Saccharomyces cerevisiae S288C: one gene and its partner. Changing the gene in region 2 together with the main gene of any one other region gives a genetic interaction. Each region holds a gene or a part of one and is shown on either strand. Other genes may lie near its edges.

The links. A genetic interaction does not mean that the proteins touch.
Region 1: mutations in PMT5 (region 2) and RDS1 together harm fitness more than expected from each alone (negative genetic interaction), as found in Saccharomyces cerevisiae (one large-scale study listed by BioGRID).

The regions. Positions count from the first base shown.
Region 1 is NC_001135.5:309,313-313,956, reverse strand, and holds RDS1 (Rds1p), read right to left. Parts: upstream 3,000-4,644; coding exon 501-2,999; downstream 1-500. Other genes in the region: AAD3 (putative aryl-alcohol dehydrogenase), read right to left, coding at 1-67; ADH7 (NADP-dependent alcohol dehydrogenase), read right to left, coding at 3,802-4,644. UniProt on the Saccharomyces cerevisiae protein: Zinc cluster transcription factor involved in resistance to cycloheximide.
Region 2 is NC_001136.10:287,938-292,640, reverse strand, and holds PMT5 (putative dolichyl-phosphate-mannose-protein mannosyltransferase PMT5), read right to left. Parts: upstream 2,733-4,703; coding exon 501-2,732; downstream 1-500. Other genes in the region: dolichyl-phosphate-mannose-protein mannosyltransferase PMT1, read right to left, coding at 3,129-4,703. UniProt on the Saccharomyces cerevisiae protein: Protein O-mannosyltransferase involved in O-glycosylation which is essential for cell wall rigidity. Forms a heterodimeric complex with PMT3 and more rarely with PMT2 to transfer mannose from Dol-P-mannose to Ser or Thr residues on proteins.

The DNA of each region.
Region 1 (4,644 bases), on a different chromosome or scaffold from region 2:
CGGCAGTTTCAGAAAGAAATCGGAGGCGTCCTAACTTGCTAGATGAGTCGGACGCGGACCCAATCATTTTAAGCACGATGGATATGCTTCTTCTAGATGATCGAAAGAGTAATTGAATTTTTTCAAGTCATCATCGAAACCAGCAAAAGATTACGATATTATCCTTCTATTTACCGCAAAGTGTGTTGTTGTTATTATATGCATATTTGAGTATCGTGATCCCTTTTTTTAATCTATTTTATGCATGTAGGACATCTCGGCCGAGCGCAATAGAGGAACGGCCGAGATACTTATTTATACGCACCGCACCTATTACATTCCGCCTGCCTAACCATGCTCATTTTTTCAAATTGACGAGCAGGTTAAAAGAAACACTGCGAAATGTGAGGAATCTTTCCGTCTTGTCGAGTCTTAAAACAGTGGAAAAAACGTGGAGGATAACAGTGTTTCTTGTTTTTGGCTTGTTTTTTTTTTTTTAGCCTTTCCAAATATCCGTATTCTCACAAAGAAGGCATATCGCTCAGATTTTCACCTAATAAATCCCAGAAGGCATCAAAATTGTTGTTTTCCAATAGTTGATTTAAAGCCTCTTCTTCGCTGATATTGAAAAATTCTTCAGCCGTGTTTTGGGACATAGCGGTATTGGCTTTTATTGCGAAGGAACTGGAGAGAACTGCATCCTCCATCTGGCACAACAGAACTTGATTGAAACTCTGCAAACTCTGGCTGCTTATTAACTTTTGTTTGATTCTTCTCGAATTATTGCAGTCCAATCCCCATTTCAATCTCACGGCTTGTTGTACTTTTGGCGGTATTTCACCATCACTGGAAATCTTATCCCAAAACCCATTTGTCACAGATACTAAGCCGCCAACATCGATCAAATACACAACGTATCTAAACATGGGAACAGTTTGGTAAGCACCAAAGTAACTATCTTGAAGTTTTCCCTTTGCTAGATCCACTAAATGTGCCATTTGGTTACGAATGTGTTTAATAAGTCTTTCTAAAATGACAATCATTTCATCTTCTTTTTCATTATCGTTAGTGGATATACTGGAAGAGGCCAATTTTTTCTGACTTTCTTGCTTGTATGAAAACCTTAACAAAATACGACATTGGAACATCCAGATCCTTACAAGCATAAAACATATTTGTTTATCTATGATATAACCGCGACTCTCTAAAATGTTCCCTTGAAACTTATTCTCGAGATAATCAGATATCAACCCTGCTAGCTTTAAGTATGCATTGAAACTTTTCAAAGTAAGGAAATGATAGTTCTTTTCATATTCTTCCCAGTGCATAACACATTTTTTTTCAAAATGTAACGATAGGACATCAAAAATGTTTAAAAAACACATACTTCCCACAATATTTGTAAGAAATATTTCAGTTTTTTGAATATCCATGACATCGAGAACCGTACTTTTGCCAACTTTGATCGCATTTGGTTCCTTTTCATGAAGGGGTTGGTAAATCGAACTTGTAGGAAAGTTCTCAGCCATAAAATCTTCAGATCTTTTAATATTTCCTAAAATGTGGAAAAGCTGCGGATGTTGTATAACTGAAGTGCAATCAGACATTAGTTTACTCAAAATGACGTGAAATTTGTACTTATTCCAAACAATATCATTCATTTGCACGTTCGATTCACTCGCAGAACTTTTTTCATACTCTGAGGAAGCTTCAATATATTCTTCGAAGTCTGTTAAATATGCCTCCATATATTCACTATTTGATTTACCAGCATCACCTTCAGCAAGAGAAATTTGAAAAAGTAATGACTGAACTCCTAACCATAATATCCGTCTCTGCCTTATCACTTCTGGATCTTTGAAACGTTTGTACTTCGAAGGCTCATATTGAAGACCTAAGGTCATGGACAAATTTAAAAGATGGTGCAGAGTAAGCAAGTTAGTGGGGCTCAGTACACAATCGGGACTCTCGGGATCTAAATGCTCTGAAACGTAGAAATATAAAAGGCAAGTAAAAGTGTTCTCATTTGGATAGCGAAATACATCCAGGAGGCATAATAGTTTATGACATAAAAGAGAAAGTTTCCTGGCACTTTCGGAGGCATTTTCTTTTACCATTGAAAGAAGATTTGCATCCAATTTTGAATGCATCAAGGCCATGGCCATTACTATTGTAAGTAATGACAAAGTTTCTATTTTTTTGCGCACATTTTTAACTTCAGTACTAATTTTCCAACGATTATTGTCGTCTTGTAAAAGCAAACTAGTGAGATCGCTCTCAAAGAGTGAAATGTCCATAAAAGGATAGAAGGGATAAATATTTTGATAGAAACACCTCAAAAGTATTTCACAGTCTTTTTTTTGCATCAACACGTCTTCCACTTCAGCGATGAGTGACGGTAGAAGAGTCGAGAAGTTTTCTTCTTCCATTGAAAATGCATTGTATAATAACCCTAAGGCGGCAGACTGAACTCGAAATTGCTTACTATGTTCTATCCGTCTAAAAATGGCCTTTTCTATGAATGACAATGGTCCTAGTATACTTCTTGATGTGTCTTCACAAGGAATACCATTAGCATAATTGCTAAAGTCAACAAGCGCCATGCCGTACAACGAAGCACAAAGTGCCCTGATATACTGGTCATGTTGCGCCAGACTATGCGCAGCAAAAGGATAATCCAGAAATGTAACTAATCCTACTATAACTAGCATATCTTCGGCGTTCCATATCGACAGCGTAGCATTAACGACACCTTCAGGCACTTGTAAGGAATATCTAAGCCCAGTCCTTTCAAGTACAGGTTGCTGTTCGAAATTGAGCTTATGAGAGGAATTGAATCCATCAGAGTCGTTTGCTGCAACATTGGCAGATAAATCTGTTCTCTCTTCATATTCACACTGTAATGAATTTTGTTGGCATCGCGAGCAAGCAGGCCGCAGTTTATCACATTTCCGTTTGATCTTTTTGCATTGCAGGCAAACCAATCTTAACCGAGGTTTTTTTACTGTAATCGAATCCATCAGAGCATTTCAGCAGCCAATTTCATGTTCATTTGTTTATCTACCGCTTACATTAATAAAGTATTAATGAGTAACATTATTAGTAATGATGTCAAAATTTCGTTCTCAATGACTTGTAATAATGAGTGTAATAGTGATCTGCACGGGTCTTGAGTAGAAAATCTACCGAATGCAAAAATGTGAAGAATACACGCTACTATGTAAATCTTTATTTTTCAACTCATTTCAAACCATTGAACCATCCTCTTAGATAGCACAGTATATTAATATAGGCATTCTTTGTAAAAATTTGCGCTCTTCTCTTTTAAAATTGAAGTGCTTTAAGAGGACCTCATCAGACATGCTCGGACTCTAGATTTCGAAGTAAAAGCATGATTAACACTCTACCTTTCGGACGAAAATTGCATTAATGTACCTACTTAATGGGTATTCAGTTTTCAGATTTAATAGTTTGGCTTCGATACATATGAGTAGGCTAAGTATTAAGTTAAATCGCAGAACAAATGTAGACGTACTCGACATGAATGGGTAAAACCCTGCACACATTTCGTATTGAATAAAACTTACTGCTCTGCACTGTTGTCGAGAGATTCTAAATTTTCATCAAAATTTCCCTTAAGTTTAAGAAATATCCTATTCAAGAAATGAATGTCCCTATATATAGGTCATGTGACTACCGAAGAATTGGTTTAAGGTATACATACAATGCAAACCACTTTTCTCTTGTTATGTAATGGGTCATGATAAATTCCGAGATTTGACATGCATTTTAAGAGATTCTGAAAAATATTACGTATATAGACTATTTATGGAATTTCTTATCATAATCGACCAAAGTAAATCTGTATTTGACGTCTCCGCTTTCCATCCTTGTAAAGGCATGGCTGACGCCTTCTTCGCTGATCGGAAGTTTTTCCACCCATATTTTGACATTCTTTTCGGAAACTAATTTCAATAGTTGTTCGATTTCCTTCCTAGATCCGATAGCACTGCTTGAGATTGATACTCCCATTAGGCCCAACGGTTTTAAAACAAGCTTTTCATTAACTTCAGGAGCAGCAATTGAAACGATGGAGCCTCCAATCTTCATAATCTTAACGATACTGTCAAAATTAACTTTCGACAAAGATGATGAGCAAACGACAAGAAGGTCCAAAGCGTTAGAGTATTGTTCTGTCCAGCCTTTATCCTCCAACATAGCAATATAGTGATCAGCACCGAGTTTCATAGAATCCTCCCGCTTGGAGTGGCCTCGCGAAAACGCATAAACCTCGGCTCCCATAGCTTTAGCCAACAGAATCCCCATATGCCCAATACCACCGATGCCAACAATACCTACCCTCTTACCTGGACCACAGCCATTTCTTAGTAGTGGAGAGAAAACTGTAATACCACCACACAATAATGGAGCGGCTAGCGGACTTGGAATATTTTCTGGTATTTGAATAGCAAAGTGTTCATGAAGCCTCACGTGGGAGGCAAAGCCTCCTTGTGAAATGTAGCCGTCCTTGTAAGGAGTCCACATAGTCAAAACGTGGTCATTGGTACAGTATTGCTCGTTGTCACTTTTGCAACGTTCACACTCAAAACACGCCAAGGCTTGGGCACCAACACCAACACGGTCACCGATTTTTACCCCAGTGTG
Region 2 (4,703 bases):
TAAGAATATGTAATTAGTTGTTTTGTAGAAGCCTCCAATTTAGGGCGATTATGCAAAGACAATCAAATAGCTGTTGTAGTCTTTATCATCGGCTGAATGTTTTGATCTGCCTACGTTCATCTCCTCATGTGCTTAAAATGCCACTCAGTGGTGATCTTGAAAAGCCCGATAAGAGAAATACCATGTTCACAGCTTTCCTTTTACCGGTTCAATCCTAATTCATCTATTCTTTGTTTATTAAATATCTTGTTGTATTTGACAATATATATGTATATACATTACTTAATACGGATCATTTTTTTGGTATTCGTTAGTTGTTTAGTGAAATTCAACGAAAGAACAAGATAGGAAAGTGTTGCATTGTGACCGGTTATGAACTCTTTTTTCATATACATCTGGTTCTTTTCCATATGTACGTAGATCTTTCCCGCAGTTTAGCTCAAATGTAGTTTTTAAATCTTTTGCTAAACGAATGTCCAATCTGAATACGGGTGGATGGATCATGATTCAGCGTTTAATTCATAGTGGCTATCGGATAGTAATAGTGAATTGCAATAAAAGTCCCAGCTTCCTAACCACTTGGACCTCTTACACAGGTTACTCGACCATCCAGTAGCATAAATAAGTGGAGAATGCTCGCTGAAGAAATAGAAACATACAACCATGAAAATAGCCACCACTATATATCCAGTATTGTTTCTTTTGTTAGAAATATAGGTTGAAATCAGGTCTAAAGCATGACCAAATGCTAGGATACCAAAATAATAGGCCGGCAAATAATCGTACAAAAATAACTTTTGCCCCACAAAGAAGTAAGGGAAATAGTGGGCGGCAAAGCCTAATAAGTACTGAAAGACCTGATAGTGGAAATTTATGATGTGCTTATCCCGTAGAATATTCACACCTAATTTCCAAGCAAGAAGCTCAACAGCCACTCCAATGATGAACGTGCAAATAAATGCTGTGACAGACCACCACAAAACAGCGTTACCTAAAAAGTACACCTCTCTGCCATTTTCATTCCAAAAATCAATACCACGCAACATAAGAGGCCAAGTCTTTGGTTCAGATGAGTAGGCATGACTAGTATCCATATAATTGTTAAGGTAGAACATGAACTTGTGGATAGCAACAAACTTCTGCCAAAAGCTCATTTTCTTATAAGAAACCTTCTCTGGATTTGGCAAAGAAATTTCGTTTTCGTTTTCTTCAATATACCATGAAGTTAAGTCTTCCCTTGCAAAGTATGCACACGTAACTTCCTGCTGCCCGAATCCCCACTCAGGTAGCTTTTCAGGATGTGAAAATAAGTAACAACCAGTTAGATAATGCTTCAGCCTAAATTTGGTTTCAATAGCCCTAATATGTTCCTGGGCAGGTCCCGGCTCTGATCTCTTTTTATCGATTTCAATTATCCAATCATCATTTATATCACCTTCGAAGCCCTCGTATCCATAACATGACACCTCTTTTTGCCAATCCGCATTTTGAGAAACTGGAGGTTTGTGGTCATGTGAGTGTAACCTGCAGCCGTTCTTAAGCTGTCTTAATTTAATTATGGTACCGTCGGTTAAATTTTGGAAACTTGTGACATTTTCATTTGGATGTTCAGCCAGCTCAATAATCCATTTGTTATTTTGGTCGATGTGAGGATACAAAGTAACTTGTTGTTGCATGGAACCAGCCGGATAATTGTGAAGATGAGAATGCAAGTAACCACCTGCCGTTCCAACATGATTCAGTGAAACAGCGGAACCCACTGCAACTTCTGCCACAGTCTCTTTAATAACGTTGTTGTATTTTAAAGTTTTTCTAAACTCAGCGGGAAAAAAGCTACTACTAATACCATTCACGTTTAATGTCTTAATATGCACGCTGAAAATGAGAAAATAGATGAAGGCAGGAATAGCTAATAGACAGGTAAACTGGAACGCCATATATTTGATAGAAGAACCAATGGGTCTTGACAAATCACCAATCATGAACCATACTCTCCAAAGGACAATAATACCAGCCCATGCGATGGTGAAGAGGCCAGCCCATTTTGAAGAAACTGCAAATCCCAATGCAATGCTCGCAGCAAGTAATGACTTGTTTGCTTTACATGAATTTGGCAAATAAAGTTCCGATCTTCTAAAGAAATAAACTGCACATGCCATGAAAAAAACAAAGGGTCCCTCTATCAAGGTGAAACGAGACAACGTTACAAAGGAGTTTTCAATTGCAAAACATACTGCACAAATGGCAGCTACCGCAATTTTCACGCCAGAAACTCGTAACGTTAAGTATAATACCAAAACGGACACGATGCCCAAAGTAGCAGAAAAGAACCTCATCGCGACGTATGGAACGTTTGCCGTGTATTCAGTACCAATGTTCCCATAATTGAAAAGCCCTTTATAACCAAAAACAGAGGACACGGTTGCATATAGCATTGCCACTAAAGGAGGATGAACATCGGTGAAGAATATGTTGTTCACGTATTGAGAAACAAATGTACCAACTTCATTTTCACCAAAAACAACACTATTTGGCAGGGAGATATTGTGTAGCCTTACGATGGCAGTAAATATCAGCAAACAGCCAACTAGAAGCTTTTCCTTAGATGAAGTAACTGTTCGTAATGAACTCAAATTATCACAGGGTTTTGTTATGAGAAAAGACCTCAAAGGGCCGCGTTTAATAGTCACATCGGGGATGGGATCCACCTTCAGCAAATGCTCTTTATTCATCTTTAAAGCAGTTATGATCTTACACACCTGCTTAATTGTTAAATCAATAAGAATATTTTCGAAAAAGAAGAAAAGAAACGGGTCTATGCATAATATGTACTACGCTTCTGTTCCTTTTCTATTGTTCTCGAATGCCTATTCGATAGACTTTTCGCGGCACGTAAACGAGTTCTTGGAAAAAAAACGGTGCGAAATGATAATACCACTGAAACTACTTGCAGATCATACTTATTTGAGCGAAATAGAATACGTGTCTCTAAACGCAGATGGACAATATAGTCAGCTTCAAGACATTTTTTTTATTCATGATGTTTTTTTTGTCTATTTTCGTTTTTAATTATACGCTCGAGAGCTTATAGAAGACTTTACATAAAAATGTGGAGAGTACTGGGAAATTTATTCCAAAACAGCCCTTTTTTCTACTTTTAAAATGTTAGCTCCCTCCTCTTCCAACATTTTTTTGACAACTTCTGGATCTAGTTCATTACCTTCTGTGTCTTTAAAGATTTTCTTGCCATCCTCGTTCATGAGATCTTCATACGACGGACCGTCCCCTTCTATAGTGATTTCTTCAACTGTACTAGTGGCGGCAGGTTGAGATTCACGTTTAGTCAAGGTTTGGTTTTTGTACTCTTCTAATGAAGAAAAGTATGTGTTACAATTGTAGTCCCAACCAGACAACCACTGCGATTTTTGACACAATTCTTGAGTCCATGGTGTACCGTAAATAATTGGACTGAAGCTCTTGAAGAAATACACAGAAGCAGCAAGGAAAGTGATCACTACCGCGTAGCCCATTTGTCTCTTGCTGCGGAAAACATAAGAAACTATTATGTCCAAGGCGTGGCCAAGGGCAAGAATACCGAAATAATAAGCAGGTAAGTAGTGATGCAAAAACATTTGACGTTGCATTAAGAAAGATGGAGCATAATGGACGGCAAAACCCAATAAGTAGTGAATAACCTGAACGTGGAAGTTAACAACCTTGGAGTCCTTCAAAATTGGTTTACCTAACTGCCACGAGAACAGCTCAGTGATAACAATCAATCCGAAAATACCGATGAAAGCGGTGACAGCCCACCATACGATCGCATTACCTAATAGATAGACGTTTCTGTTATTTTCACCCCAGTAACTTATACCACGTAGCAAGAATGGCCATGAAGTTGGTTGTGATTCATAAACATGAGGTTCGACCAAATTTTTATTGATATGCCACATCTTTTTATGGGATTCAATAAATTTAGAAATGAAGCTTGCAGGTTTATAGGAAATACGCTTGGTATCTTCTGGTAACAATGGGTTACTGTTGTTCTCAACGTACCACAATGTTAAATCATGTCTACCGGAGGAGGCACAGGTAACTTCTTGTTGTTCGAACCCCCAAGCTGGCAACTTGACTTCGTGGGAAAACAAATAACAGCCTGTCATAGCATGTCTCAATCTAAACTTTGTGTCCAAAGCTATGACCCGTTCTTGGGCAACTCCAGGAGCAGAATTCTTTTTATCAATCTCAACAACCCAGTCATCATTAGCATCACCGTCGAATCCGCTGTAACCATAACAAGAAACCTCCTTCTGCCAGTCGCTGCTTTCTGAAACGGGTGGCTTATGGTCATGAGAGTGTAATCTACATCTTGTAACAGTGTGGAATAGTCTGACCTTGGTACCATCGGTTAGGTTTTGGAATGTTGTTAAAGATTCGCCGGGTGCGTTGTAAAGTTCCAACAACCAATCGTTATTGGCATCCATGTGAGGATATAAAGTGCTTTGTTGTTGTTCCGAACCAGCTGGATAATTGTGTGAATGAGAATGCAAATAACCGCCCATGGTAGAGAGATGACGCAAGCTGATAATGGAGCCAATGCCGACATCAGCAACGACATTTTGGGGGATCTTATTGTTCTTTAGTGTAGATCTAAATTCAGGCGAAAAGAAGCTTGCGCCATCCCCGTCCAAAGTTAATGATTG